4 linked regions of the Caenorhabditis elegans genome follow. The protein of the gene in region 2 interacts with the protein of the main gene of each other region in a pairwise test. Each region holds a gene or a part of one and is shown on either strand. Other genes may lie near its edges. The genes, in order: R07B7.8, F45D3.2, clec-208 and rtfo-1.

What was found.
Region 1: the proteins of F45D3.2 (region 2) and R07B7.8 interact in a two-hybrid assay, tested with the Caenorhabditis elegans proteins (one large-scale study listed by BioGRID).
Region 3: the proteins of F45D3.2 (region 2) and clec-208 interact in a two-hybrid assay, tested with the Caenorhabditis elegans proteins (one large-scale study listed by BioGRID).
Region 4: the proteins of F45D3.2 (region 2) and rtfo-1 interact in a two-hybrid assay, tested with the Caenorhabditis elegans proteins (one large-scale study listed by BioGRID).

What each region holds. Positions count from the first base shown.
Region 1 is NC_003283.11:12,077,907-12,086,567, reverse strand, and holds R07B7.8 (Lipase_GDSL domain-containing protein), read left to right. Parts: upstream 1-2,251; 5' UTR 2,252-2,414; exon of another isoform or gene 2,415-2,952; 5' UTR 2,953-3,107; coding exon 3,108-3,119; exon of another isoform or gene 3,120-3,162; coding exon 3,163-3,222; exon of another isoform or gene 3,223-3,263; coding exon 3,264-3,405; intron 3,406-3,515; coding exon 3,516-3,575; intron 3,576-3,627; coding exon 3,628-3,782; intron 3,783-3,854; coding exon 3,855-3,960; intron 3,961-4,005; coding exon 4,006-4,175; intron 4,176-4,226; coding exon 4,227-4,453; intron 4,454-4,543; coding exon 4,544-4,706; intron 4,707-5,024; coding exon 5,025-5,198; intron 5,199-5,248; coding exon 5,249-5,290; 3' UTR 5,291-5,483; downstream 5,484-8,661. Other genes in the region: R07B7.10 (SLC (SoLute Carrier) homolog), read right to left, coding at 268-415, 990-1,090, 1,138-1,365, 1,416-1,496, 1,544-1,693, 1,741-1,856, 2,109-2,142; R07B7.9 (Lipase_GDSL domain-containing protein), read left to right, coding at 6,317-6,382, 6,431-6,490, 6,537-6,678, 6,857-6,931, 6,972-7,043, 7,096-7,250, 7,294-7,402, 7,446-7,615 and 4 more.
Region 2 is NC_003283.11:12,537,925-12,545,374, reverse strand, and holds F45D3.2 (Homeobox domain-containing protein), read right to left. Parts: upstream 4,337-7,450; 5' UTR 4,298-4,336; coding exon 4,208-4,297; intron 4,156-4,207; coding exon 3,585-4,155; intron 3,532-3,584; coding exon 3,395-3,531; coding exon of another isoform or gene 3,387-3,394; intron 3,100-3,386; coding exon 2,908-3,099; 3' UTR 2,398-2,907; downstream 1-2,397.
Region 3 is NC_003283.11:2,094,016-2,100,697, reverse strand, and holds clec-208 (C-type lectin domain-containing protein), read right to left. Parts: upstream 2,746-6,682; coding exon 2,542-2,745; intron 2,499-2,541; coding exon 2,393-2,498; intron 2,333-2,392; coding exon 2,146-2,332; intron 1,810-2,145; coding exon 1,714-1,809; intron 1,666-1,713; coding exon 1,587-1,665; 3' UTR 1,540-1,586; downstream 1-1,539. Other genes in the region: gtnt-25 (Glycosyltransferase family 92 protein), read left to right, coding at 223-358, 457-588; F36F12.7 (uncharacterized protein), read right to left, coding at 657-725, 1,005-1,259, 1,313-1,339; clec-207 (C-type lectin domain-containing protein), read right to left, coding at 3,470-3,548, 3,597-3,692, 4,026-4,212, 4,263-4,368, 4,413-4,616; gtnt-26 (Glycosyltransferase family 92 protein), read left to right, coding at 5,416-5,597, 5,701-5,772, 5,824-5,955, 6,396-6,504, 6,550-6,665.
Region 4 is NC_003283.11:9,578,099-9,586,240, forward strand, and holds rtfo-1 (RNA polymerase-associated protein RTF1 homolog), read right to left. Parts: upstream 4,547-8,142; 5' UTR 4,530-4,546; coding exon 4,375-4,529; intron 4,321-4,374; coding exon 3,954-4,320; intron 3,910-3,953; coding exon 3,441-3,909; intron 3,386-3,440; coding exon 2,819-3,385; intron 2,769-2,818; coding exon 2,576-2,768; intron 2,531-2,575; coding exon 2,440-2,530; 3' UTR 1,943-2,439; downstream 1-1,942. Other genes in the region: F25B3.2 (CTCK domain-containing protein), read left to right, coding at 1-139, 384-750, 1,623-1,717, 1,777-1,848; K09G1.1 (MARVEL domain-containing protein), read left to right, coding at 6,974-7,058, 8,086-8,142. UniProt on the Caenorhabditis elegans protein: Component of the PAF1 complex which is a multifunctional complex involved in transcription initiation via genetic interactions with TATA-binding proteins, elongation and transcription-coupled histone modification.

The sequences.
Region 1 (8,661 bases), 460 kb from region 2:
GTTTGAACGGCATCTTTGCCTTGAAAAACGGATAGGAAGATCGATGAGATGTCCGGTTTGTTAAAGTTTTTAGGTCATCTCAACCAATTTTACATTAAAATTACACAGTACTAGTATCAAGAGTTATTCATGGACCACCTGTATGATAAGATAGTGGTAAAGAGATAAAATAGAGATAAGATTGTCTGTGAGAAAAAAGATGCATTTGTGATCTCCAACTGAGTTTATACAAACAAAAAGGCAATTTTGAGTTCGTGGGAAAATGGATCAATCAAAAAACGAATAGGTATTCTCATAAACCACAAAAATGACGGCATTTACAACAAATCCACGGAGTGAAATCGCCCATCCACCACGATAAAATGCTCGGAGACCGTCTTCTCGATAGATTTTTAGAGTCATTTCTTTTGGGGATCTGTAAAATTACAAGTTAATGAGTTTAAATATATGCACTCATAAAAACCACGTGCAAAAGGGGTGTGTAAATGATAACAATAAGTATCATTGTTGTACAATGATAATTAATATTTTGTTTCCAATACATTTTTTGATAAAGAAAATATTTGCATTGTTTGTACGCAGATTTAAATGATTAAATGTATATAGTTTCCGTACAAAATTTGAATCTTTCCGAACATGTGATGGAGTTAGAGGACAAAAATTAATAATATTGTAGACTTAATTGGTTTGGACGGCCTACATTAAATATTCAAATTTCCAGGAAAACTTTAAAAATTTAACTTCAAATATTTTTTAAATGGAATTTAATTTGTCAATTTTTGAATTTTTGGGCGAAATTATATATTTTTAGGGAAGCTCATTAATCTTAAGTTTTAAACAGTATCTGGTAGTCTACATTAGTCCAGCCGCATTTTTCAAAGCTATTTAAATATTAATTTTTTACTACGGTAGATAAGTTTCGACGTTTAAAATTGAAATTTGAAATTGAAATCGTTATATTTTCCAAGAAGCAGCAATATCAAACTTACAATGTTTTATGGCTTTTATCAGCTTGAATCCGGTTTTTCACAACTTCCAACGGGCACACAGAAATCCATCCACTGACTCCAGCACAACCTCCAGCAAAAAGCTGAAATAATTTCAACTTTATTATCGGTTACAGAATCTATTTATTACCTGCGTCCATGTATTCTCTAAATTATGGCTTCTAAAGTAACGGCTAAGTCCTTCATATACTGGAATGTAGAAGAGGTATCCAATATTATCTCGGCAAAAAACAACACTTCCTCCTTTGAATAATCCACGCACTCCTTCAGCACGAACAGTCTCCCGAGCACACTCTAATGGACCAGCGTAGAGATTTCTTGAGTGTTTTGAGAAATGACCAATGTTTTCTCTTTGAACCTAAATTTTTTAAAACATTTTTATAAAGTTGTATTCTATAAAAATCTCACCTGAAGCTTGGTCTTTAACAATTCCACAGGAATAACTGGTCCGACTTGTACTAGAGTTCCACAAATAGATGCTATCAAAATCTGTATGAAACTAATAAAATATTAAAGTAAACTTTTTTGAAACTTACATCTGACATTGGTAAATCCTTACGAGCCATAACATTTGAATCACCAGGATTTAAAAACTTGAGACCTGCTCCATAACCAGCAAAAAGTAAAGAATGTAGAGCACCAGTTGAAATAAAAGGTACAAACATTCCCTTGTAGAGACCATAGACCTGTCAAGTTGTAAATGGTACAAATCAAATTGAATATGTTAACTTACAGATTCTTGTTTCATAGTTTTTACCATACAATCTACAATTCCTTTATAAATATTCATTGTCTGCAAGCGAGCTTTAACAGTATCCAAAGGATGTCCAACTAGGAGACCAGCTCCACCTGGAATCACAGTAAAAAGATATCGTGCATTTATATTTAAATGCTTTTTTAAAATTGAAATTTTTAAGTCATATAAAAATCTTAATCGTTCAAAAACTTTATTTTTATATGAAGCTATAACTTTGGCCGTTATTGAAAGTAGAAAATATAATTGTTCTAGAAAATTTTAAATTTATAATGTGGTAATCAGTTCGAATTTTTGAAACTTCCCATTTGGATGGTACAGAATTTCTCAACAAAAAATAAACAAACCTGCGGCCCATCCTGCAATGAAATCGGCGTACATAGTAAAATTAACCCGACAATTTAATAGAAAATGAGAGACAGTTCAATGCATAAAAAGACGGAAAGTGATAAGATTGAATGGTTACAGATTGCACAAATGGACAAAGATCACATCGATATTTTCGATATTTAATCGATATTTTTCTACACTACAGCATATTGTCGAACACTTGGAAATCTATGAACTGCATCTTTTGGGAAGACTGAATGAAAGTGGAGACGCAGGTGGTATTGGAGATACTGTGGATACCACAACACAAACAATTTTGAAAGTTGTGTTCCTGTGAAAGTTGATTATAGTGTTCACATCGATCAGAAAACTTCCAAAACATTCTAATATCAATTAAAATATTAGTTGACGATGTTTCGGCATTCTACATTTTTGAGAGCTTCTTTCAGAGACTCATTGAAATTATAGATAAAAACAATTATTTGAATTTTAATTGTCATGATAGTTCTGGGGGATTATTTTATTTCTCTATAGGCACACAAATGTATGCATGTTTGTAGTAAAACTTCTAAAAACTTAATGTTTTTTAATAATTTTCAGTCGAAAAGCTCCAATTATTCAGTTTTCATCCGCTCATAACTTTGGAAGTCGATGAGAAAAATGAATTACCCAACTAACTTTTTATTTTTATTTTTACGGCAAAAGTTGTTCGTTGAAAGATCCGAATGCCGCAATGTCCTACTATAATTTACCAAAAAGCCCCAATTTTCGTAAATTTGGCAATTTGACTGAATGTTTTCCGAAATCAAATTTTTAAGATTGTACATGTAATATTCGGTAGTTCTGGATAAATATATTCAGACAATATTCCCAGCAGTCCTACTCCACCTATGTATAAATGCTTGAAATTTTCGCGTGCAACAAACGCGTGCAAGTCGTTGGAAATTGTTTGACTTCTATCTCCCCACTCTCACATTCTACGGGCATCCCAAAGCATCTCAAAAGAAATCTAAAAAATGCAGGCTTTTGTAAGTTTGAGAAATTTTTTAATCTTTATATGTTTCTTTGCAGTGGAATAAAAATTCCCGGTATCGTCGAGTTCCAAGTGATATGGAAAATGTCGATAAACAGGTAAGAAATTGAAAACTATTAAAAATCAAATAAATTTACAGGATTACAAAGATCATAGCACATCTCGAACTGTTTCGTCAATTACGAACAAATGTAGTAGACGGTATCGAAATGTAACATTATTTATTTTTGTGGTTACCATTGTCTCTATCCTTTTTTTCTTACTGTTTCGTGGCAATAGAGGTAAGTGACGCAGACATTGCAACACAATTGAGAGAGTATTCTTGACATGGAGAGATAGACAATGCAAAAACTGCTCTCCGTTTCCTTGTGTTCATTTATTTTTATTTCAGAAAATCTCGAAAACTACACCAATATGGTAAAAAATTATACTTCTAAGGCAATGAATCTTGGTTAGTCTGTTTTAAGCCAACTTTTAAAAAATTGAATTAATTATTTATTCAGAAGCACAAACACTAGCAGTTGCCAAATCAGAAGTAAAAATGGCTTTGGAGAAATATTTGAATTCTATCGATCCACATGAAATTTACCCGGATGATGTGAATATGATTAAGCCGCATCATATTCGAGTTATTGGAGCAATGGGAGATTCTTTGACAGTTAGTTATTTTATTTATATAAAAAATGTAGTCCATTTCAAAAAATATTTGAATTAAATCTACTTGTTTAAGATTGGGTCTCGCGCAGAAAATATTGTTGGGCAGAGACAACGTTACCCTGGAAACGCGTTTTTTACTGGAATGGATTTTGAAGTCGATAGGCATTTGACTGTTTATAGTATGAACTTAATTTAAATTAAATCTTTTTGAAATATTATTCCAGACATTTTTCGTATAATTGCGGAGAAAACTGGAAATAAACTGTTTGGTGGAAGTACTGGAATCGATTACGGAGAGAATACAGGATTGAATGTTGCGATTGGTGGAATGAAAAGTGATGATATTTTAAGACAAGCAAAGGAACTCGTTAGCAGAATTAAAGCTAACAAAGAGGTTTCCTAATTATATAGCTTATAAGATTAAACTTAAATTCAAAATATTAAGATTAACATTGAAAATGACTGGAAACTTGTGTCACTCTGGATAGGAACAAATGATGTCGGGACACTTGGTTACCGTCTAGAAGATCCAATTCCAGTTGATGAGTACAAATCACATATTGAAAAAGGACTTTTGTATTTGAAAGAGAATCTTCCAAGAACTATTGTCAGTATAGTTGGTATGTTTCCAGCTCAACTTCTTCAGGAAGCACAGTCAATTTTGAAAAATGGGTTAGTGTTTTTCTAGGTAGCTTTTTTTGTTTTTATTGCAAATTATTTTCTATGAAAATCTGTTTTAACCAGATAACAACTTTTTTACAGAAAACGAGCAAGAACCGTCGAAAACCAGAAAAAATTGGATGATTTGTCTGATGGGTACAGAAATGTATCTTACGATTTTCAAAATAACGAACATTTTAATTCCAATGATTTTACTGTAGTCGTGCAACCATTTGCAACAGAATACACGGATTCTTATCGAGATGTAAGACCTTTTTTCAAATAGAGGATTGAGAACATTAATTTTTAATTTGGTATATTTCTCAATTATTAAAATGTGTGTAACAACAGTCATTGAGTTCATTAGAAGCAGGAAACAGTCATTTTTAAGTCGCATTGACAATTTCAAACAGCTTTCTAAATATATTTGAGAATATTTCTCACTTCAGTATGCTTGAAAACTGGGCATTTTTTGAAAATTCCTTGTAAAAATTTCCCAAGAAACAAAAAAAATATATCCCAAAAAAATAAGCATCTCTGTTAACAATAGAAATAATTTCTTTAATAATTTTAATATTTACAGGAGCATGGAAAGTACAACCCGACATTTTATGCTTCAGATCTATTTCATTTGAGCAAATTTGGACATGCTGTACTCGCGAAACACTACTGGCTGAATCTATTTGAACCAGTTGGAGAAAAGACAAAACGAGCAGATTTAGGAGATACGAAACCAAAAATATACGAACTAAATGAGGTTTATAAAATTTATTTCAGACTCGTTTTTGTTCATTTTATTTTTTTCAGAAGAACTGTCTTATCAAAACAGTCGGAAATAGCAAGATGTGATTGTATTTCAGATTTACTTATTTTGAATTTCGGGTTTTTTTAACCTTCATTTCCGCAACACAATAAAACATTATATTTTACGTCATGAAGGAGTCGGAAAGTTTATGAAATCACGACGTCACAAAATAAAGGAATATTGAAAATTCAAGATAATATCGTCAAATTGATTTGTGATAAAGTTAATTATTTGAAAGTGTTTAACATTCCTAAAGTATGAACTACCAACTTTCAAACTTTCGGCATTTTTGAGACATTTGATACAGTTGGTTTACAATGTGCGAAATATAGTTCAATTTTTATTTTAAAAATATTACAATTGTTTGCTTGTTCTTCATGAGTCAATTAACCAACATCGTGAAATAGCTGCTATGCAATATTTGACTAGGATGATTTAATCAAATTTTGTGTTATTTTCATGATCCAAATTTTAAAGACTAATACCGTCTGTTTAATTTTTCGCACTGTGAATTCTTGTCAATTACAATGTGAAAATTACGTAGTTTTCGAAAAAATGTCAAGTTATTTTACATTTATACTCGCGAGAAATTAGCGTGTCCAAATTTCTTTTTATCATTAAAAATTGTGGTAATACGTGGATTTGAAAATTTGACAAGAATTTTGTAAAGAAAATTCTTTGCAGAATTTTTGTGACGTCAAATGTCCGGACTCTAGATCTAGAGACTAAATCCAAATTGGCAGGAATATTTTAAAGATCAGTAGATACTCATAAGCTTTTTTAATTTATTTACTTCTAAGAGAATCGATAATGAACAGTGTAAGTTTTTAAATTTTTCTCGGTTATGGTATCACAAAAACTATTATTTCAAACAAAAAATGCAAATTTCGTACGAAACAATGCAAAGTTGTAGTAGATCCGAAATGAAATTTAGATAACAATCGAATATTGATGAAGTTTTCATTAAACATATCGCGTTCTTTTTTCAAAATATTTAATACATCTGCGAATACTTTTTGACTCCCCACTCCCTCTCCCTCTCTACCTTCTATATTATTTCCAAAATACGCATGTTAGACAACGAGAGCGCTCTTACCTTTTTTATAAAAACTATGAATCCGAATTTGCAAGCTTTCGTGAGTTTTTGATTCAATTAGCTAATTTATTACTTTGTGTTTTTTCAGTTAAAAAGAAACGCTCCATATCACAGGATTCCCACTGATATAGACAATTTCTACGAACAAGTGAGAAATAATATTTATTTGAGATGAAAAAAATAAATATTTTCAGGAATACAAGGATTATTATTCACCTCCAACATTTTCATCAGTTTCTAGTATTTTCCGCCCGCCATTTCGACATATTCTTGTATATATTCTTGGATTACTGTTCGTTTTTACCTTATTGTTTGTATTGTTTCGTGGCAATGAGGGTGAGTGACGCAGACAGAAAAGAAGAAGAGAAGAGAAACACATTTGAAGTAGAGTTACAGACATTCAGAGAAATTGTTGCACATTAGAGAAATTAAAATTGAACTTCATAAAACATGTTTCTAACTTCAGATAACCAGTTGATTCACGAAAACCATTTTAATCATTAAGTCTATTCAGAAAACTCCGGAACATACAATGACTTGAAGAGCTCGAAATATGAAGATACAACTGTTGAAGAAATACAAACAAGTGGTAAATTTTGAATCACAACAACTGATTTACCTTTTTTCAGATGGCATCGATTTTCAAAACGCAGAAAAGGAAAAAGAAAATTCGAACTTCACTACTCCAGAAATGAAACTCAGTTTGTCTATTTTTCTCTTCAACTTTTTAAATGTTTAATATCCTAACTTTAGAAGCTCAAACTCTGGCCGTGGCAAAACCCGACGCGAAATTGGCATTGGATAATTATTTGAAATCAATTGATCCACGTGAAACTTATCCGGATGATGTTAATTCAGTAAAACCTCATCATATTCGGGTAATTGGTGCAATGGGAGATTCGTTAACTGTAAGTTTAAAACACTTTACATCCTTTTTCAAATAAGTTTCAGATCGGGTATTGTGCTAGTCATTTCATTGAGAGAATCAATGGTCCTAATCCAGGAAACTCATTTTTTACTGGAATCGATGAAGAAATAGATGGACACTTATCAATTTACAGTAAAACACCATTTTCGATTTTTTTTTCAATAAAAATTTTCAGACATTTTCCGCGTTATTGCTGAGGAGACTGGAAACAAATTATTTGGAGGCAGCACTGGAGTAGGTTATGGAAATAATACGGGATTAAATGTTGCTGTTGGTGGAATGAAAAGTGATGATATTTTGAGACAAGCAAAGGATCTCGTTAGCAGAATCAAAGCAAACAAAGAGGTACCTTTCCTCTTTATCACAAAGTACAAATGTTTGGTATTCAGATAAACATTGAAAAAGACTGGAAATTAGTATCTCTATGGATTGGAACTAATGATGTTGGAAATCTTGTATTCGGTTCCGAAAATCCAATACCTGTTAAAGAATACAAAGCTTTTATTGAAGAAGGTCTTTTGTATTTGAAGAAGAATCTTCCAAGAACAATTGTCAGCATAATTGGAATGTTCCCACCTCAACTTTTACAGGAAGCATATTACATTTTGCGAACAGGGTATGTACTGCTTAGCATGTAACTTGCATTTATTAATGGATTTTCAGAAACCGACCCGGAACTCCTGAGAGTAGAAAGCAACTAGATGAGCTCTGTGATTCGTACAGAAATGCATCGTATGAAATTCAAAACGAAGGAAAGTTTGATGACAGAGAATTCACAGTTGTTGTTCAACCATTTGGTACGGAATATACAGATGCTTTCCGAAATGTGAGTACACAAAATCTTCTACTTTTTGAAAAGAATATAAGGCACTTATTTTCCAGGAGTTTGGCAATTACAGTTCAGCACTCTATGCTTATGATGTGTTTCATCTTGGCAAACTTGGTCAAGCTATTGTTGCTAAACACTATTGGCAAAATCTTTTCGAGCCGGTTGGCGAAAAGACAAAACGAGCTGAATTGGGAAATATTACTCCGGAAATATTTGGATTATCTTCGGTGAGTATCTTCAAATAAAAATGTTTCTGAATCTTAAATTTTCAGGGCAATTCACTTATAAAGACGCTGGGAAACAGCAAGAAATGAGCAATCGGATTTTTATTTTTTTATCGAATATTTCGGGTTTCAGACTATACACTCTTATTTGTACTAGTTAATATTTCAATATCGTTGTTTCTCAATAAACTGTCAAATTTTAACAAACAACAAATCAGAGCTTCCTCTTTAAAAAAAACCAGTAGGGTCGAGGTTTTTAATCACTGGTAACTATGGGAAGACTGGAATGTTTTTAGATTTGTGTGTTGTTGTATTCAATAATTTTTGTATTCAATAAT
Region 2 (7,450 bases):
ATTTTAGGATAAGTCAAACTTGGAATGATCACAGAAGTACATTTACGTCTTCGGATTGCTGGATGTTTGATTGAAAGCGTCGTTCTTCTAGTTGTGGGCAATAAAAACAACGAGTAGAGTCGAATGGGACTTGAGATCGGAGCACTTGGTGTTGTCGTTTCCCATACGTTGCACTATAAACAACACAACAAAACGATGTTGTAGAAAGTACCCTATCTTTTTCGTATTTGTCTATGTTTATTCACTAAATAATTGAAGAACTATAAATAATTTTTTTTGGACAGGCCTGCAATAAACTTTTAGATACAATTTTAAACTCAACATGAAACCAACAGAAAGGGAAAAATGTTAATCCCCAAAATTTGCCGGTTAGATTTTCCTTCAAACTGTTCCAAAGACCCGATTTAAAACATATTAGCTCTAAACGTCTTTCTTGAGTTTTGAAATTAAAATGTAAGCAAAACCCCAATTAATTGTTTTACTCACAATCAATATTAAATGGGCATATTTTCCTTAGTATTATAGTGTGTCTCGCTCTATTAGAATTGCAGAAAACGATTTGAAATTAGACTTACCTGTCCTATAAATTTGTGTTCACAAAATATAGTGTTAATTTATTCACGAAAATGCTAAACGATCCCATCACGGAGCCATAACTTTGTGAATTTTTTCTTTTCCATTTCGCAACATCATCAATAGAAAATAGTTTTCCTTAGATTTAAGAAGTGCAAAAGTCGTAGATCATGCGTCTAGAAATTTTGCTCGTGCAGCAGAAAGAAGTTAGATGGAAGAGGTGATGTGAGATGCACTAAAGAAAAAATAACGAGAGTTGAAGCATTTAGTACAAGGAATATGGTAGTTTTGGAGGAGAAACATTCTAAGTGCAGAGATGATGCTCCGATTCAAGAGCAATTGTACGCAATCTGCAAAACTAAGTCTTGTGGTGTATCAATTTGCAGCAATTGGAAAACATTTGCAAAAAGAATAAGCATAATAGGAGAAACTTCATTTCATGCCGCCCAAGTAAAAAAAAGAAGTTTTGAGCCTTTAAAAATTTAGGTGGATTAGGCGGTTAGTCGAAATACATAATGTAGAATTTTTTTAAATTGCCAAATGTTTAAAAAGTGTGCGGTTTTTTCGCATGTTTGAATCTCTTCAATATTTGCCAAAAAATGTTTTAAACCTAATTAGATTTCCTAGAAATAATTTGCCTTCCAAAATTATGACTGGCAAAATTTAAATAATCAGCACTTTTGCCAAGTTTTTTGCAAGTTTTTTGCACTATATGAGTGGATTCCAACCATTTATTCATTTGTGTCACATCACATTTAAACGAACTGTGTGTTTTCCAAAATTTGATTTCAAGCTCTTATGCAAGTTCGAACAATTCAGATTTTTTTTACGGCAAGTATCGCATTTCATCTTCAAAAATTTCGCTTGGTGTATAAACTACTGATGTGCATCCAAGAAGATATTCTAGTTTATTTTGAACTTGAACTATATCTGAAATTGTTTTGAGGCACTTAAAGTTGCGGGGCACTAAAGTTGGCGGGAAAATTGTGTCGAATTGCACTCTACGGGTCGTGATTTTTAAAGTGTTCACGATTTTGTAAATATTTCATTACATCGATGATCTCCTTTTTACAAGTGTGCCAACAACATTCAATTGAAATTTAAAAAAAAAACACCGCGAAACGCCCGTGAAGATTTGCTGTATACCCCTGAAAAATATTTTTTGTGCAAAAATAAAATATTCCCGTTTTTATTTTAATGTCAAATTGGTCTCGAACCATTGGAACTTGAACCTTGTTATTCGGTAATCTTTTTTATTTGGGACACTTTTTTCAAAAACTAACACATTTTCCTATTTTAAATATTCAAAATAGCCTAAAATTGATTTACCAACTTATAAATTGTTGCTGTCTTATCACACTTCTATTTAAAATGCTGTTGAATCAAATTCAAACAGTAAAGTGCTTTTACCGGACACCCACGTTCTATTTTTGAGTTGTTTAGCTACTTATTTCATCAGGCACATTTTTGTTTGCTTAGGAATAACTGTACTTCATAAGTCATATTTCTGAAAAGCACTTGCAAACGTTGTAAGTTCACTGTAAATTTTGTTTATGCTTTGAACAACTACAGTCTTCATCTAAACTTCGAAGGTCATTCTCTGAAAATGTGACATTCTGCTGAAAGACTTCCGCATCCCCCATTGCCCTTTTTTATTTTCCTAAAAACTGGGTAACTGATCAATGAAAGTGCAAAACGGAAACTGGAAATGAGAGAAAAATGACGTGAACTTGTCGAAAACAACTCAAAAGTCTAAGCCACATGATTTAAAATAGTACGGTACTTGATGTGTTATTTTTTTCTGAAAACTACATTTGGATGAACTTATCAATTTGCAGAATGTTTATTCATATTTGTTTGTACAGATTGATTATTTTTAGAATTTAAACGTTTAATTTTTACAAAAAAATGTTAATCATTTGAAAGGCTGGGCAATGTTGTGAGAATTACATTGAGACGTTTGGAAATGAAGGTTTAAGCTTAAAACAGGAAATACAAAGTTGGAAAATATGAAACGGACATAAAATATTAAAGCATTGAAGTTTTGTTCAAAAACATTAAAATTAAATTTTCCTCTTTGACCATCCAAAAGAAACAGTTCTAGTCAAAGAGAAAAAAAAGAGAAGAGCAAAAAATGGAACGGGGAGACGAAAAATGCACACGCAACGGTTGATCCTTGAGACGTAATAGTGAGTAGTTTTTGAGAGCAAAATAGGGGCTATTTCAACGGGGAAAACTGTAACCTATCCATATTGAGTAAAATTGAACTTAGAGTAAAAGCTGGTTGAAAACGAAAAAGAAGTGGATAGGTATAAATAATGAGAGCTAAACGTTCTACTCTGCAGCTACAAGTTCCTGACGCACAGTTTCCTTGACCAAATCATCAAGTGAAAGGCCTTGTTGTTTTTGACAAAAAGCTTTTTTCTCCTCATCGGTTTTATCGTCGAGTTGAAAAGCTTCAATGCACATACATGCGACTGCCGCTTGGATTCCTTGAAGCATGACTAGTTGTGAACGGGGCTTCTGCTGAAAATAAAAAGAGTTTAAAAAATGTATTTCAAATTTCAAAGAGTGTGCAAATTGAAATTTTATTGAACAATTTAAACTTAATGACAGATCAAATAAAAATCAAATACTTTACTTTCACACCAGAGCTGCGTTTTTAAAATTAATTTTCTAAAACAAAAATTGGTTGTAAAATATGCAGTTCTGTCAAGCACGACAATATCATTAAAATGTGAAAAAAGTAGAAGAATAGAGAGAAGATTTCGATTTAAACTATTAAGAAAAGGAAGAATCGAAAAACTACTAACTTGTGTACCTGATACTTTGGGTAGTGGCGGAATGGCGAATCTGGTCCGACCTCGTCTGGAAGGTCTTCGTCTCGAATAAGACGGCGAAGTGGGCCACTTGCGCTGACTTCTGGCTCTAATTTTTGAAGGGGCATGGATTTGAGCACTGAAATTTAGAATTGTAAATTTAAATTTATAAAATTTGAATATACGACTTACATTCTTGAGTTTTTCTTCTAACAAGATCCTCTTCCTCTTTTGTTACTTGAATTGGTCGAACTTTATTTGGATGCACATCTGCATCATCATCTTCTACTAATGTTCGGAGCACAGATGTAGTTATAGAGCTTGATGAGGGAGACGAATTCGAGGAACATGTAATGGTACTTGTTGTAATTGGAAGTGATGGTTCCATCTTTCTTGTTCTCTTTCGTCGTTTCTCTTGATCTTTTCCGTGTTGCAAAGTGGCAGCGCTTGAAAATGCTCTTGGGCGTCCATCAGCTGCTAATCCAGCAGTAAATTGGTTAACTGGTGAGTTCATTGCAGCTTGAACATCTTTTTGTTGTTGATAAAGGGCTGAGTTGATAAGTCCCAATGATTCGATTGTTGAGTGTGGTGGAAGATTCAAGTATGGCAAAGTAGACAAAAGTGGGAATCCAGTGAACAGGCCAGGATAGGCACCTAGGGAAAGCATTGAAAGTGCTGTCATATCGTTGATTGGAGGAAAAATACATGAAGATGTAGAAGTAGATGCCGATAAATCACTGCTTGATGCAGATGATGGTTTGCTCTGAAATAATGAGATTTTGATTTATATTTTGCATATTTGATTTAAAACTTACAGTTACTGGGTTAAGAGTCAAATCATGTGGCAAGGCAGCAATAAGAGCCTGAAGCTCAGCGCTTCCAAGCTGGGAAGTCAGTTGGTCCATTTCTTATTCTTTTGAATGCAAGGGAAAAGAAGATATCCCTGAAAATATTCGAACGTTTTTCAAATGTCACTGTAATCGTTTAGGAATTAGAAAAATAGGAAAAGGAGGAACAGACTAGTGAATCAAAACGACAAATCGCAGTGTCGAAAACAAAAAGGACAAGGGAATCTGGAGGCAAAGTGCAGAATTTCGGCGGCGGCGGCGCCCGCAAGTGTACTGAAACTGGAGATTCATCTCTGAGCGAATGTGATCAAGTTTTGATGGAAAAATGTCGGAAGTCTAACAAAAAATTTCAGCTTCAGTCTCTGCCAAACAGGGAATTCGAGGGAAAAAGTGGTGAACCGGTGTCCTCAACAATACACAGACCACGCACACACACACACACGTCTATTCTATTCTATTTTGTCACTTTTCCTTCTATTTTTTCTTACTTTCCCTTCTAGCTTTGTCGTTGTTTTTTTCCCGGTTTACTCTCACTCTCCACACTCACATATGAAAAACAAGAAGTGCTTTAGAGACAGACAGGCGTGCGCAATTGGTTCCAAAAAGGATATGAAGGTGCCCTTCATGGTATATAAACGATGATGATCATGACAAAAACTGGAAACTGAAAAGGTGAAGTCAAGTGTACTTCAACTGAACTTTTTGCTTAAACTAATAATTTTCAAGATGCCAAAATGAGGATTTAAGGAAGATCGGATGCCAATTTTAGGGTTAGACGGATAAATGAGGGATTCGATGTCTTAAAAAACAATCAGTGACTCAAATGCACTTTTACAAAAATGAACTGATATGAATAGAACTTTGCGTGAAAGCGTAAAACGATTTGATAAGCTTCCTGACAACTGTGACCAAAAAAATGACAAGCCAAAACGTGAGTAGCATGGCAATGAGTGACTGACGTCCTGGCATCTCGACAGAAGGCTCCGCCCACTTACGCTCTCGGAAAGGAAAAAAAGATGAAGAAGGGGGTGGGTGGGGCATTGAGAATGCTAGGAAAAGTGCAAAAGAGGAGGAGAAGAAAGAAGATTATGGAAAGGACTAATAAGATGCGAGCAGCTGAAATTAATGATGTAAAACTAAAAACATTATTGGGCACAGGTTATGCATTGCTCAGATAGTTCATATTAAATTTATCTGCACTTGTTGGCAAATATACAAGAGATAGCAGCTGATTGATATTCTAACTATGGAATATGAAAATTTACTTGAGCACGAAATTGACGTAGTTCTCAGAATAACTGAAACAGACACATGTACCAGACACATGGACACACATCATGAACTTTTTGTTTTGTTTTTATTCTTCAATAACTGTTCTGATCGTGATCACTAAAAGTTCGCTTTTTTGCTATTCATTTCTATTATCTAACTCATTTCTTATCACAAAAAGGCATCATGAAGACGGAAGATAAAAATGTGATTGAGACCAGATCAGATTAGAGAAGCAATAACAAAATAGCAAAAAGTACAAATTGACCACGTCAAGATCTCACATGCAGGTGTTATGTGTTATGTTACATTATGAAGAAAAAATGAGTCAGTATCTATCAGAAAATCTGACTAAGATTAAGCTTGAATAAGGAAGAAAAAGGAAAGGAAAAGGAATGGAGAAGTATGAGAGGTCGACCTTTCAGTCTGGGGATGCCTAGGAGGCCTGGCGCTGCGGGGAAGTGCGAAATAACAAAAGGGCATGTAGAGTATGATGGAGAGATAGACGACACACACATTTTCTCTCCACGCTCAGAAGAAAAAGACGGAAAAAGAAGGACCCGTTACACAAATTGATGTACCCTCTATCTCTTCCTTGGTGGAGACTGGGAACCAAAGTCGATGTGAAAACCTCATGGGAATTTGGCTACTGTATTTGGAAAGAGAATTCTTGTGGTGACGTTAGTGATTGGGTCACAACTAACTAAAAACAAAGATCCAATAAAAACCTTGACATGTTATAAAAAGTTTAATGAAGAAGAGGAATAGAGATGGAAAGTGATTCAAGATTATCGAGAAAAATAAGATCTTTGGCAGTAGAGGCCAACTCTCGTCTTGACAAATTGATGGAGTACTTGCGATCAGAAGAAAGTTGAAAGTCTAACATGAATCATATAAGATTTCGAATAGTTTGCATTTGTGAATTAAAGTTTTGAATAGCGAAAACAATTTGAATAATTTTTTAATTAAATGTTTAGTATGTTTAATCGTCAGTTGTAAGTAAGTGACCATTTGGATTGGGATACTTGATGAATAAATATTTTTGGAGTATAAACAAAATCTTGTAATCTTTGGGAAGATTAGCGGAAACCTGTTGAGATGGTAGGTACACCATCTCACTACATATCGACATTAGTATCTGAATATCAAACCCTGTAGGTGAAAATGGTGGGGGCGGTACGACCGGGTCGCCCCGAAGGAGAAGGTGCCCCGCCCCATACGGTTTACACTGAGACGCAGGACAAGGTATAGAGGGAGGGCGATGGCGGAAAAGTACATGCAAACTTTCTATTGTGCCCTACTACTACATTTGCTTCACTTACCGACCATTGAATTAGGTTCATGAGTGAGCAATAAGATCTTAAGATTTCCAGAGAGTTCAAGAGCAACTTTTCATACCACAATAAATGACGTGGCCGCTTTTTTTTCAGATGGTGAATGAGAGTGAGAACCAGACAAAAACAACAAAATAATTTCAGAGAACACTACTGTGTGGCAAAGGGAAAAAAGAGAAACGGGTAGCCGTCGTGTGGGGTTTCTTGTTCTGCAGCTGAGCTAGTGCAAAAATGGTGCGATGGCGAAAACAACTTTGGTGACTCAGAGAACAGAAATATTCACGAATTTAAGCAGAGATCAAGATATTCAGCAGTTTCAGCAGTTTATTCTTCAAAGATTTCTAGACGATAACTTAAACAGGTGCATCAAACTTTGAGCAAAACTGTTTGAACCAACTTAGCATAAATTAATCTGGTTCTAATTTTAGAATTTAAAGCTAATAGTTTTAAAGCTTTGGGACAATTCTCTGGGGAAATAGGAAAATACGCTCTACTGAGGCGAAAATGAAGAGAACAAGTAAATAAAAGTGTAAGCAAATATTATGTGAGGAGTTTGAGTCGAGGTGACCAACCGGTGACGGCGATGGAAAAACCCGAGAAACGAAAA
Region 3 (6,682 bases), about 10 Mb from region 2:
AAATCTATAAAAGTGCTCTTGGAGGCGCGTAGATAGGCACTGGTGCCTGCCTGCCTACCGCCGGTTTTCTGCATGTTTGCGTAAAGTCCGGTGTCCCGTGTTTGCATAGTTTTTTAATACGATTTTCTAATTTAAATTAATTATTAAAAAAAAACAACTGGAAGCGCGAGGCTTGATCTTCTATGGAAACATATTTTAAATCTCAATTTTCTAATTTTCCAGGACGCTCCTCATGCCGAGTATTCAAGAATTTGTGAAACAATTGCCAACCGAAGATTATTATTCAACAAAATTGAAGGCTTGCCTGGAAGCTCAAAAGCAGGGAAAGGGGCAATGTGTGAATACGAAAGCGTGCAAGGTGAGATGTGCCTACCTTATGCCTGCCTACTCGTTGGTAGGTGTAGTCACAAGGCAGGCAGGCGTTTTTAAAATTTACCTTACCTATAATATTTCCAGCTCCCCAACAACGACAAAATCCCATGTCGACACTCTGATGGTCTCTATCACTCCGGGAAAGTCACAAAACCTTACACATTCCATTTTGTCACCGAATATTATTTTACAAGGAATTTGGGATGCTATGAATAGAGATATCAGGCTTTGTATATAAAAAAAAATGAAGAGCTTGAAACGGTTTTATTGATGCTAGTATACTTCTAAACGATAACACTGAAGACGGGGCTCTGTCTCCCTTTGCCCATTTCAAAGCCATTGTTGATAGTGACCTGAAATGTGGAAGTTTATTAAAAAGTTTGTAAAATTTGATAAATGCCAGCACCGAGCAATAGGGGGCTACAGCGAGCAAGTCGCGGACCACGTGGTGTCAGAAAGCCTCATCGCGATTTGATCTACAAAAAATGCGGGAATTTTTTCATTCTTAACCATGCAAAACCAGTTGAGATGTCTGCGTCTCTTCTCCCGCATTTTTCGTAGATCAAAGCGGAATGAGACTTTCTGACTCGCGGGCGACATCAAAAACTCGAGAAAATTTTACAAATACATACCTCCTGAGTCTGCGACATGCCACGATTGTTGGGGCTTTTCTTCGCTGGCTCGTTCTTAGAGACCGTCGAGCTAGAAACTGACGATGAAACTCCATCGCGTGGCACTGAACGCTTGCCGGCTCCTGGCGACGGTGTACGAGAACGTGGAGCAATCATTGCTGCTGGCGGAGTATCCGCGACTGGCTTAGCCCCACTTGGCTTTGATTTCTTGCACATGAAAAGGACGGGAACAAGTGGCAGAATTTGGAGGATTATCTGAAAATTGTTTGAATGGCTTGAAGGCTTGGGAAATCTGAAACTCGACTCACCTTGAAAAGCAACACAATTTCATACATTTTAACAAGTTTGTGAAACTTCAGGAAATGAGTGAAATCTGTAGTGATTCGTGGATGTTATTTATTTTGTATTTATAAGTTCACGTTGAGTTATTTTTCCAACTGTATTATTTGTGCAAGTTTAATGCAAGTTTTTCCCATCACGTTTCTCGTGAAAACTATTAAATTTTTTAATTTTCAAATTTTTTGGTTGAGCAAGTTTTCCGATACAAAATTTTTTATTCAACAAAATAAAAAGTTATACAGATCATCTTCTCGCTTTCTTTCCGCACACATATCCCTTGTTAGCCTTATCGGAGGATGGGCGAGGATCCTGCCATGTGCATCTGGAAATTAGGTTGCCCTGCTGGTTGTGTCTACCAACAAGAACTTACGGAACATCATCCATTTGACCAGTTCTGAAAGCGTTCATAACCAACGGGGTGCTGGCAACCGTAAGCAATGCACAATCCTGATCCAATGCAGCAGCTCTAAAAAATGGAAAAGTTTAGATTTATAGAATGCGTGCTTGCCTACAAGGCAACCAACGCCTATCTGCAAAATAGGCGGTAGGCCGTTATGCAGGCAGGCAGGCAGGAGATAGGCGGGTACAATATTTTTCGGTCATATCGGCAATTGCCAAAATTGAACGTTTTCGTAATCGGTAATCATGCCCACGTGCATGCCACTCTATTGGCCTGAACGCATCAGGCTGGTATCAGGCCGTATGTAGGAAGACGTGCCTTCCTGTCAAGCCTAATTTATTACGAGGCAGAGAAGACGTGCCTGCCTACGAAGGCACCCATACCGAAACCCATCTGACTTACCCATTATTTGGCTCTCCATCCGTGAAAAGCATTCCATTGATTCCAGTAGCCGAGATGTCAGTCCAGTAGAAACTGTTGGTCTTCGTACAAGTTGCAGTGATCCCTGAGCTGATGCAAGCTGGTCGGCGTCGAGCTCCTACCCAAACGCCACCACTGACTTCTGGGGAAATCAATCTCACAGACTGGGCTGAAATTTCGCTGTGGTTTCAGAAGTTTTAAGTTTTACTCAAAAAAAGCCAAAACTCACAAACGATATAGTTGATCTCTTCGACATTCTGCATCCCTGAGAGTACTCCTCCGTGGGTGGCGCATACTTGGTTTGCAGAATCTCTACCAAGGCGGCCTGCGAAGACCTGAATCACAATTGTAGAATATCATAGGGTTACTGTAACCTACCCTAATACACCATCCACCACTTGGTCTCGAGAAGAACTTCCACCCGGCGTCGCATACTCTTCCACCTCCACCATTGCCTGGTGGTCTTGGTGGACGTCCGTGATTGTGGCCACCCCGTCCACCATCTTCACATGATTCGGAAGAATCCGAAAAGTCGATACCATAGGTGGTAGAGAGTAGCACGAACAGGAAAACAACTAGCATGTTTCAAAATGTTTCGTAACGCGTGGAGTTTTGGGTTTTATATGGTGATCGGGAAAATAATAATAAAAAAAAGGAGTTTAGCTTCCGCTTCCCTGCAACCAAGTGCGGTTTGTTGCAATAAAATCGGAGGACAAATGATTGTTTGTTTGCTGTTTCAAGATGGTGACAGCTAAAAAGTTAGGTAGAAACTTACCGGTTAGATGTCACCTGCTCAGAATAGAATAAAACAGACCCGTAAATTGTCGGCTGCTGAAATTAGCGCGTGTTCAGTATAAAAGACCGTGAAGCTATTATCGGAGCATTCATAACTGGCTTAGCCCCACCTGGCTTTGATTTCTTGAACATGAAAAGGACCGGAAGAAGTGGAAGAATTTGGAAGATTATCTGAAAATTTTTTAATGGCTTGAAAGCTGGGGAAATCTGAAACTTGGCTTACCTTAAAAAGCAACACAATTTCATGCATTTTAACAAATTTTTGAAACTTCCAGAAATAAGGGAAATCTGTAGTGATTCGTAGCCGTTATTTTTGTTTTGTATTTCGAAGTTCACGAAAGTTTTTATTATTCATTGAAAGTTTTTATTTTGCACAACTGTATACAAGTTTTTTTAAACAACAAATTTTCGTTAAAATTCTCAATTTCGATCCGGATTGCTAGCATTATATGATAGTAATACACCACATTATAAAATACAGAATTTTTATTTTTAAAAAAAGTTATACAGATCATCTTCTCGCCTTCTTTCCGCACACATACCCTTTGTTGGCCTTGTCGGCGGTTGGGGTAGGATCCTGCCACGTGCATCTGTAAGTTAAATGGCCAAGTTGGTAATGCCGACTAACAAGAACTTACGGAACATCATCCATTTGTCCAGTTCTGAATTTGTTGAAAACCACCGGGGTGCTGGCTACAGTAAGCAGTGCACAATCCTGATCCAATTTTACCCCTCTGAAAAACGGAAAAGTTGAGATTTTGAGAATGCCTACGTGCCTACAAAGCAACCAACGTCTACCCAAATGGATAGTGGCAAGCCTACTAAACGCCACAAAAACTAGGCGGTAGGCGGTCTTGTAGGCAGGTCTCTTAGGCGAGACAGGCCAGTACAATATTGTTCTGTCATAGCTGCAATTGCCAAAATTGAAAATTTTCGGAATAGGTAATCATGCCCACATCCCTGCCTGTCGCGTATCTGCCTGAACGCATCAGGCTGACACGTAGGTAGGAAGATGGTAGGTGCGAAGGCGTACAAAGGCAACCTTACTAAAAACCCATTCGACTAACCCATTATTTGGCTCTCCATTCGTGAAAAGCATTCCATTGATTCCAGTAGCCGAGTTGTCAGTCCAGTAGAAGCTATTAGTCTTTGTACAAGTTGCAGTGATTCCTGAGCTGATACAAGCTGGTCGGCGTCGAGCTCCAACCCAAACGCCCCCACTTCTTGCTGGGGAAATCACGCTCAAAGACTGGGCTGCAATTTTGCAGTAGTTACAGAAGTTTTACAAAAAAATTAGAACTTACAAACAATATAGTTGATCTCTTCGACATTCTGCATCCCTGAGAGTACTCCTCCCTGAGTGGCGCATGCTTGGTTTGCAGAATCTCTTCCGAGGCGGCCTGCGAAGACCTGAATCACAAATTGTAGAATATCAAAGGGTTACTGTAGCCCACCCTGATACACCATCCACCACTTGGTCTCGAGAAGAACTTCCACCCGGCGTCGCATACTCTTCCACCTCCACCATTGCCTGGTGGTCTTGGTGGACGTCCGTGATTGTGACCACCCCGTCCACCATCTTCACATGATTCGGATGAATCCGAAAAGTCGATACCGTAGGTGGTAGAGAGTAGCAAGAACAGAAAAACTACTAGCATGTTCCGAAATGTTTTGTATTATCTTGGGGCTTCGGTTTTTATATGGAGATCGGGAAAATAATTATGATATAAAGAACGTTTAGTTTTCTCTTTCTTGCAACATTCTCGATTGCAATAAAATCGGGGGACAAAATGATCTTTTGCTTGCTGTTTAAAGAATAAACCTTGGATGTGTTGTCAGCTGAATAGTTTCGCAGAAAATTTCACCCATAAATTGTCGGCTGCTCAAGATAGAGCAAGTAGAATATAATATGTGGAACCTTTGAGATGTCGGTTGCTTTTCTGTGATCGGAAGCTAGTAATTTGGTGATTCCGTGGAATGTCGGCTGCTATATTTATTTGGGACGTTGATAAAGAGGAAAAAATAATGACTCAATTATTATTATTGACCCGGGAGATAACGGAAAATGTTTTTTGAGCGATACGGCAAAAAAATTGGTCCCGTGAAGCGTCGCTCGTTCTGATTGGAGGAGTTACTTTTCATACCCCTTGAAATGTCGGCTGCTTTAACACGGCTAGAAAATGGCTTCTAACCCGGTAAATGCCGGCTGCTAAACACCGAAGCAATACATAGAATTTCACGTGCAACAGCTTTTGTCTTTGATTTTATCCGTATATATTTTTTTATTTTTTTTTTTGCAGAGCTATGCTTGTTCCGAACAGGATCCAAATATCTGATTTTAAATTTTTTGAAAAAAAGGCCGCCTAGGCCTTGTCTCGTCTTCTAGATAGGGATCGCTAGGTTCAAAAATTGATAGTTATGTAGATTCAGCTTCAAAATTTTGCTTCTATCCTGCCCATGAAATTTCAAACTTCCGAATACTTAAAACCCTATGTCCTCCCAATTACAGTAAGCTTCAGACAGCTACCAAAATATCGATATAGGCTTCATCCTTTACGAGCTTTGAAATTAGGACTAGCTTTATCAGTAATTATAATATTTTCTTCATTACTATTTTTATCAAGTGATGGGCCACCAGAGTGAGTTATTGTCGGAGTCCGCAACATGGCCGAGGGAAGGAGAAAACTCGGCCACCGATTTCTGGCCGAGTTTTCTTTTTTGTCCCGGCCAATAGATTTTCAGACCTGAAATTTCCATTCTACAAAGCACGCATACGTTTATTCATTCTGCATACTACTATCCGAGTTCCAAGTCGTAAGTTTTTGTTTCAGTTTTATTAGAAAATAACGTTTGTTTCTTTTTCAGTCTCGGAAAAAATGCGATCGCAATGGTGACAACAATGAATAAAAGAACGGTATCGAATATTACAAATCTTAAAATAAATTTAATTGGAACCAATAAAACGGATAAATGGATGCAACAGGCAACTTTGACTACGTGAGTCTCTACCTGCCTACGAGCCTACAAGGCGGCCTAGGCCTCCGAATATACTCGATATCGGCATTTGGCTCTAGCTTCTTGCCCAAGTTTGGCCCAAAAATATTAACTTGGATCAGAAGCTGGGTAAACTTGGGCCAAAGTTAGGCAAAACTTTTGCAAAACTTGGATTTAGGCTTTACCAAAGTTTAACCCAAGTTTCACCCAACTCTTGCCAAACTTTGGCCCAAGTTTGAGACGAAACAAGAAAAGTTTGGGCCAAAGTTTGTCAAGAGTTGGTTGAAACTTGGGTTAAATTTGGTGCAGCCTAAATCCAGGTTTTGCCTAAGTTTAGCTAGCTTCTAATCCAAGTTACTATTTTTTGGGCCAACTTTGGGCAAGAAGCTAGAGCCAAATGCCGAGATAATAAGCTCCGCCCACATAATGGCTCAGCTTTTCAGGGAGCATGGCCTTCATACTCGGTGTGACTATTCTCTTGTCACTGCCCACGCAAACTTGCTGGAAGACATGGAGAAGCTGGAAATTGAGTCCGATGGAGTTTTAGTAGAGGTTAAGAATATTTATTATATATAATTTCAGTACAACAAGTTATAGGTACCAGTAAAACGTCCGAAATATTCAGCGCCAAAACCAGTGGTTTTCTGTATAGCCCCACAATTTGCTGCAGAGCAGTGGCAGACTTTTCTGGTGCAGCTGCATGTTTCGAAGCGGTTACACTAGAATTGCA
Region 4 (8,142 bases), 3.0 Mb from region 2:
TGAAGATGCTGGTGGTAGGAATCAGCTGTTTATGGCAGATTCAGTTGATGAAGCATCACAGAACTTTGCCGAGTCTTACACACCAAATCCACTTGGGAATACACTTGGAGATGCGGTATTTGTTGCACATTTTCAGCAGGTTTGGCTTTAAATGGTTTATGTTATAAACATTTGTTGTACATATGTGAGAGGATGTTACTATTAGTACGGCCCCTTGAGGGTATAGAGCAATTAGAAAAAAAAACGGTTGCAAGTTTCACGAGACTTGCTTTAAAATTATTTACATTAATTTTAAAAATTATCTATAACCGAAAAAGATTCATTTCGAATTTCTAAGTCACAACAAATAACTTTTATACATTTTTGTAAAACTTTGAATTCAGACCAATCCGTGTGATTCAAGATGTCAAATGATAAAAGCAGCGTTGAATGGTGAAATATCTCGTCGTTCATCTTCTCCATCAAATAATACAACAAATCCATTCGTCCGTGTTTTTGGACGCCTTCGTGCATCTGTATTCAGTGATGCTCATCCTACTGTACCTGGTAATTGTGCACTCGGAAACTTCATCCCTGTCGGAACATGTTCTGACCTTGGAGAAACTATTGATGGAGGCACACACGAATCGTTGTGCTCTGAATGCAGAGGGCTGTACATGCTCGGTGCTAATTGTTTTCCGAAGATTTTCAACACAGTTCAATGTAATTCACAGGAAATGGGATGTATTTTTGACACGTTCACTGATAAAGGTGAGATCATTCAGGAATTTTTTAAAGTTGTAGAAACGCTCTTCTGTGCTCACTACTTCCTAAAATTTATTGTTTAGAAGACGAAATTTTGTATACATCGACTATCAAATTTAATCTCTTCTCTCCGGAATTTAATACATAGAGGTTTAAAGATACGAACTTTCGTCATTTTTTATGCGCATGAGTCTCGCCACGCTGACAACGAGTTACTGTAATCCCACGTGGCCACGTGGTGTCAGCCTGTCCCATGTTGGTTTGATCTACGTAGATCTACGAGAATTGCGGGAATTTAGTCGCAGACTTCTCAACTATTTTCGCATTGTTAAGAACGGGCTGACATCACTTTTTTTGCGGCAAAAATTCCCGCATTTTTTGTAGATTAAAACGTAATGGGACAATCTGACACCACGTGTAATTCGTGTTCATTTCCCGCTACTGCATCGTATTTTTTTCAAATTAAAAGCAAAATCGCTGACAAGATTTTTCAATAAAAAATATTATGCAATGGAGACCCGTATTTCTAAAAGATAAATGAGCAAGAGTTACAGTAACACGATGCCCGATTGGGGAGACCTCGCCACGAGTGCAAGGAGATACTGTAGCTCGTGCCGACGTATGATCCGCTATTGCCTCATATTTGCATATTAAAAAGTCTTGGCGCAATTGTTCGTCTAATATTTAAAACATGAGACAATGTAGGCCCCGTAAATCGACACGAGCTACTGTATGTCAATGTCTGCGTGGCGAGACCCATGTACGTATTGTATGGCGAAAATGATCAATTTGGACGTTTACGTAATGAGAGCGTTCTACGTTTTTCAACTGAGGGGTCCGTTGATTACATGTAATTTGTGATTGAAATATATTTCCAGCTCATGGTCAATGTGGCATTCAGACCCTCTCATTCAAAGTTCTACGAAACACAGGGGATGATAATTGTGAGGATTGGATTGTTGAACAAATCCAGGTTTGTCTTATTTCTCTTATTGTATTAATCTCGAAATAATCTAATCCCTTCCTTTCCAGCTCCCTGTTGCCTGTCAATGCTCACTGAGCAAAAGCTCATTTCTTCGAGCCAAGCCGAGTAAAGAGCTGTAGCGCTTAAGATGTTAAATTACAATTCTTCGTTCACATTCCAAACCATTTCTGTATACCGGGTTTCTAATCCTGAAAGATGGAATAAAAACGTGAAAAGAACTTTGAGTTTATTCATTAATTGCACGAAAAATTATTAGAAAAGTTTCAAAAAATTCACACAGATTTTTGGTTTACATCCGTTAACCTAGGAATACAGTAGTCACAAGGAATCAAAAAAGGAATAAAACATGAAAAGATGAATGAGGGTGAAAATCAATAGAATCACATAGAAAATTTAAAATTAAAGGTTTGGGATTGGTGAGGAGTATCAGTGAGTGGGAAAGATCTAAAACAAACGGTGAAGGATTCATAAAATGTTCCATTTCTTGCATTCTGCAATTGCTATCTTTATTACGATTTATTTTATTCTGACGAAATTAAAAGCTAAAAAAATGTGTTCTCAAAAATTGGAAAAAATGAACGGAATAGTATAATGAAGGAATTGAACAAGTTTTGATCAGTTTATAAAACGAAAGAAAATAAGTAAAACGTAACGATGAGGGATGAGGGGGGTAACGCTGAGAAAATCAAAGAGATGTAGAAAAAGACAGTTCAAACTGCTGAGGATGGTGCAGCTGATGTGGAGGATCCAGCGTCACCACCTCCTGATCGACGCATTCGATAATCACTAAGTGACACTCCTCTGAAAATATAGCAATTAAAATAGTCCACTATAAGATGTGCTAACTTGGAAGAACTAATTGATGGACGTTTGTTTCCTGACGATTCCGGCGTACTAAAATCCTTCAATTTACCCAAATCGATGTCTAGATCAAAGTCATGCAGACTGGATATATCAGTTTTTTTCTTTATTTGAGTAGATGGAGGAGGTTGCGTCGGTTTAGCCAATGATGAACTTTTGTCTTTTCCGCCGTCAGATACTGAAAATTATAAAGTTATGTCAAAAAATTGATATTTCCTATTAACTTACAATTTGTGGTTGATGAAGATGCGGAAAGAGTTCCGTCAAGTCTTGATTTAGATCCAGAAACAACACGCATACCTCCCTTCTTACGTGTAAAAGGATCATCCTGTGAATTCTCTTCGATCTTCAATTGCCCACTCAGGACTTGGTCCTTTATTTTTGATCGATTCCTATGGTTAATGAACGCAATCGCACTAATTGACTTGCTTCGCTCTTTCTCCAATTCATCAGCTTGTCGTTCAATCTCATCGATTTTAGTTTGAATTTGTTCGGCTTCTCGAATGTCACCTCGTTGTTGAGCCAGCTCTTTTTGCTTGGACCAATTAGCTTTTGTCATAGCGAAATTTCGTGGAACTGTTTGATATTTGCTCTTTTCCTTGATCATCAGATCGACTTCTTTGTCCGAATACTTGTGGTTGATTGCTTTTTCGATATCTTGTTTTTTCTTATCCATAATATCGACGGTTGGAAGATTTCCGTGTCTCTTACATGCCAGAAGCCATTCATCAAACTCAATTTGTTCGAAATCAGCATTTGAAACGAATTGCATACGGAATGGTCGTTCTGATCCACCTGCAGTTAAGGTTGTAACAGATTTCAAATTTTCACAAGTAAATAAACAACTCACCATTCTGACATTTTATGATTTTATTTGTCTTTTTTCCTTCCAATTCGTAGACTTTGTTGGATTCCTCCACACCGACAATCTTCCATATCCGATATTTGCTTCCTGAGCCACTCATTTGCCCTTGTCCAAGTCGAACATAGCATCCTACGACAGTAGAATCAAAGAATGGGGCATGAATCATCAATGAAAGTTTATGACGGGACAATCGAGCTCTTCGAAGTTCCGAAAGTCCATCAACATCTTTCTTTACTATCTTATCTTTTTCGGATACACGTTCTGGTGATGATTCGCGGGAAGAAGATGATGAACGAGAGCTTTCGCTTGAACTAGACGAACTTGAAGATCCCGAATTAGCTCCAAAAACAGCATCGATAGAGAGTGCTTCGTTTTTTGCATTTTTCTTTTCGATCTCTTTACGTTTGTTCTTCAGAGCATCCATAGCATTCTTCTCTTTATGTTTGCGGTTAATCTGGAATAAAAATTTTTATTTGAAAAATAAAAAAATAAACTTACATCACTGGGTCGGTGGAAAGCAGCATCCATCTCAGAATCGGAATCCGATGAAGCTTTGCGTTTCGGGGAACCTGCATCACTTCCACCACTGTTCATTTTCCTTCGTTTTTCGGTTTTGACTCCCTTTTCAGAACTTTTCTTTGCTTTTTTAGCAAGTTGTTGAGCAATTTCTTCTCGAGCAATCGCGTTTTCACGAGCCTCCATCCTTTCAAAAATTTCTTGCTCCTTTTCCAATTCTGTCAATTTCTTCCATCTTGCTTTGTCTTCTTTGTCAGCAAATAAATCATCATCTACTTGGTCATCGTCACTACTTCCAGTAGCTCGCCGCTTTCGCTTTGTTAAAGTCTTCTTTTTTGCAGGCTTTGCCCTGAAAATGGAAACTCGTATAACTTTTTTTTGGATAGAAAACAGTAAAACTCACTGTGGTTTTTCGGCATCTGAATCGGATGCCGAGGAGTCGGTACTGAGAGGTTTTCCAGGTTTTGGACCTGCGTCTGAGTCAGAATCGGAATCTGAAGTGGCTGGAGCACGGCGTTTTGTCTCTTCGTCTGATGAAGCACTCTCAGAGGAAGACATTGTTGATTAAACTGACCCTGAGAACATAATTATGAATTGAATAAATTATTAGAGAACGGTGAGAAGAAACGGTTGTATAAAAGTGATGTAGAGCGTCTGACATTTGTTCTGGGAAAATCGATATCGACACACAGTTGCAAGATGGCTACGAACAATAGGTTTCATACAAATATTTAAACAAATAAAAGAAACAAGGAAAAGTGTCATATTTTTAATGATATATGCGCGTTTTTGTCGAAAATATTCGAAAAATTAAGAAAAAACTTAAGTTTCTCAAAAAATGTGTCAATATTGGATTCGAGAAACAAAAAGGACGGGTGCAATAAAGTTTTTCTACTCTTTGAATTAAGATAATAATAAAGAATCATTAAAAATCAATTATAATAACGAAAAACCAAAGAAAATACCGAAAATTAAGAATAAATTTTTACATTCAAACTGCACAGTGTCAATACATTTAGTCCCGCCCACTTTGCAAGCCGCGCACGCTATTTTGCAAGGTTGTCGCACACAATTGGGATATTGGCTTCTGTTGCTGTAGGTCATGGTGCAAGCTATGTATATTTAATGGATTTATATATAAATACCAAACACTTTTATAATCGATAAGGAAATTGAGAGACACTCCCATTTTCTGAAGTTTAGAAAAACTAATTCTTTAGTGCCCATCCTGTGGGAATCCGAAGTGTTCTTATAGGTTTTTCAAATCTCTTATGCTCTCACAGTATTCTCAAAAACCATTAATCAAGAAAAAAACATAAGAAGAGACAAGGGTAGATGGCTTACGGAAATACAACCCCTTTTCCAGGTTAAACGATGTAAGAGAAGAAAAAACGAAAAAAGAAAGATCAAATGCTCTTTAGTGAACAGTTGTTCTATTAAAGTGTTTAGGTAGACCTGGAGATACAGAGAATCAGAAATAAAGGATAATCTTTCTTTTCGTGTTTCCTGTTGCCATTCGACAATTAGTAGAAGTAGTAAGCGAAGTTTTCGAAGAAAATGAAGAATTTGCGGTTCGAATCCCATCGACACAATGGAGGAGCAGCTGAGGCAGAGTTTAATTTTGGTAAGTTATCTGATTATTGAAATACTGCATGTTTTCTTTCTACGAGTTTTTAAGAGAGACTCATTTGTGTTTAATACATAAAAAATTCCGTATAACGCAGACGTTTAGATATTTTAATGTTGGTTATACTTTACTCGCAGGGGTCTCGCCACTCGGACAACGAGTTACTGTAGCTCGTATCAATTTACGGCCCTCTATATATTTGTATATGCGCCTTCAAGATTACGGTAAATAATTGCGAAACAAAATCTTGATGTCCAATTCAACAAATGTTCACATTAGTAACATTCAATTTTAATTTAACGCTAAATATAGAGACTTTCTGTAAAAAACCCGATTTCACATTGATTGTCTAACTTTTTCAGTCCGAGTTGCCCGTATAAAATTTCAAAAGACTTTGTGAACGTATTTTATCTTATTATTCTTTTAAAGCTTCAGAACTCAAAACTTTCCAAATGTTCATATTTTCTCGAACACAATCCATTTTGCTTTTCCGACAGTTCTAACCATCAAGTACATGTTTATCCAGCCAAGTGGTTTCTCCTCTCTATATCACTTTCATTCTAATCGATCTCTCTTCCTTCTCACAAAACCGGCAATTGTATTGCGTGACGACGTACCTCTCATCACGCATTCTGAATGAATATTGAAAATTTGAATATTTGAAATGGCTATGAGCCTGCAACGTTCACTACTTTATTAGAACTCATCATGATTACTCATCTACCTGCCAGCCGATTGGAAGATTACTACTTGACTTCAATTTTAGGTGATTTTAATTTATTTTCTTTCTTCTCTTCATCACCAAAATGAAATAAAAAGAAACAAATCAATCATGCCACACCTCGAATGATTAGTACTAGACATTACTGAAATTAAAGAGACTTAGACAGTCATTCAACTGATTTGATAACTTGAAAATTTCTTGGAGTAAGTAAAAGATATGACTCTGTTCAATGCTTGAAGTGCCACGTCACAAGAGGAATGTTTCTCTGAATCTCTTAGAGACACACATTATTTTTTATTGAGTGCTTCACCTATTTCTTCTTGCCAAAAACCATTCCCGTTCAATCTCTATTGCTGAGCAAACAGTGTACCAAGACAAAAAGTTAAGGATGGCTCCAAACTTTTTCCCTTTTCTTCAAAGTTTCGTTTCCAGACCGTACCTTTTTTTCTTTTTTTCAATTCTAACTTTCAGTCTTGAATAATAATAATATATACATTACTTTCGATATCAAAACAAATGTCAGCTCCTCCTATCCGTTCTCTCATTTTTGGTCTCCCAACTTTAGTTACAGTCCTTCTCGTCTTCTTTTTCTTCTTATTGTCGTTCGTTTTTTTTTGTTGCATTCTTGATTGACTGCCCAGTCGACAGACAATGAAAAAAGAAACAGATGACGAAAAATCAGTAGCTACGGCGCTTCGATCCACTGCTGGTTTTACGGCGGCTATTCCTGTTGAAGGTATTTGAGTTAGGAATGCGTAAACCTAGAAGCTCGGTGTCTAAATTTGCTTGTTTTAGATCATGAACTTTGTGAAAAGAACTTGTGAATTCACTTTAAGTTCTAAAAAATAGGCTAGAGATTCCATCTAGATATGCTTTACTTGAATTCTGTTTTCACATTTAGAAACCAGGAAGCTAAAATTAATGTCTCGTTATAAGTTTCATATCGTACAACTGAACTTTTTTTCATTTCTCCCTATTTTCTTCATCTTATCACCTTCTTTCAAAACAAGAACGATTGAAGGAAAAATGAAGACATTCGGAGTTTTTTTTGGTCATTTCGGTGATGGCCTTCTTATTTCCAATTATCAGTTTTATTGCTGATAAATTTGATTCAAAGTTCCTAGAGTTGGTTCTAAATAGATTAAATAAATTTGTATCAAATGATTTCAAAAAATTCAAATATACTGCATATTAAATGTATATTAAATGTCGAGATACAAGATAGTTACAGCATTTTTACCATTAGACATGCACCATATTACTCCATTTTTTAGCAATTATTTTAGTTCATTTGCAGATATCAACGAATCTAATTACAAAATTACATTGGGGTTTTGTCTATGAATACTTCATTTTTAAACAAAGAACCCGAGTTATGAGCTATTAAAGTTGAGTAATGGTCAGTACGACTTCTACGGAAAATATGAGGTCTCTGTTAGTTTAGAAGAAACAAATTATCACGAGCATTATTAATGTCGAAGATTACTGAGCTACTTGTCCTATAGTTTCACACTGCAATAGTTTTTCATTTGTTTTTCCGTTTCTGAGTAGGAGTAGTAAATCTTTTGTTTGCTCACTGCAAACCTAGAATGTACAGTCAGGTGATTCCATCTACACAATTGTTTCATAGACTCCAAAAACAAATGAGTTTTCTTACGAGTAATGTTCTTAGTTTTTAATTTCTAACACTATGTTCTTGCACTATCACTGATTTGTGACCTTTTCTCTACCTTTTTTCAATTGACTCAGGAAGATTGTTGCAGGGGAAGTACGTCGTGCGGCTGCCAGTTTTCAAGAAAATCCACAAGAAGACGGAAAAA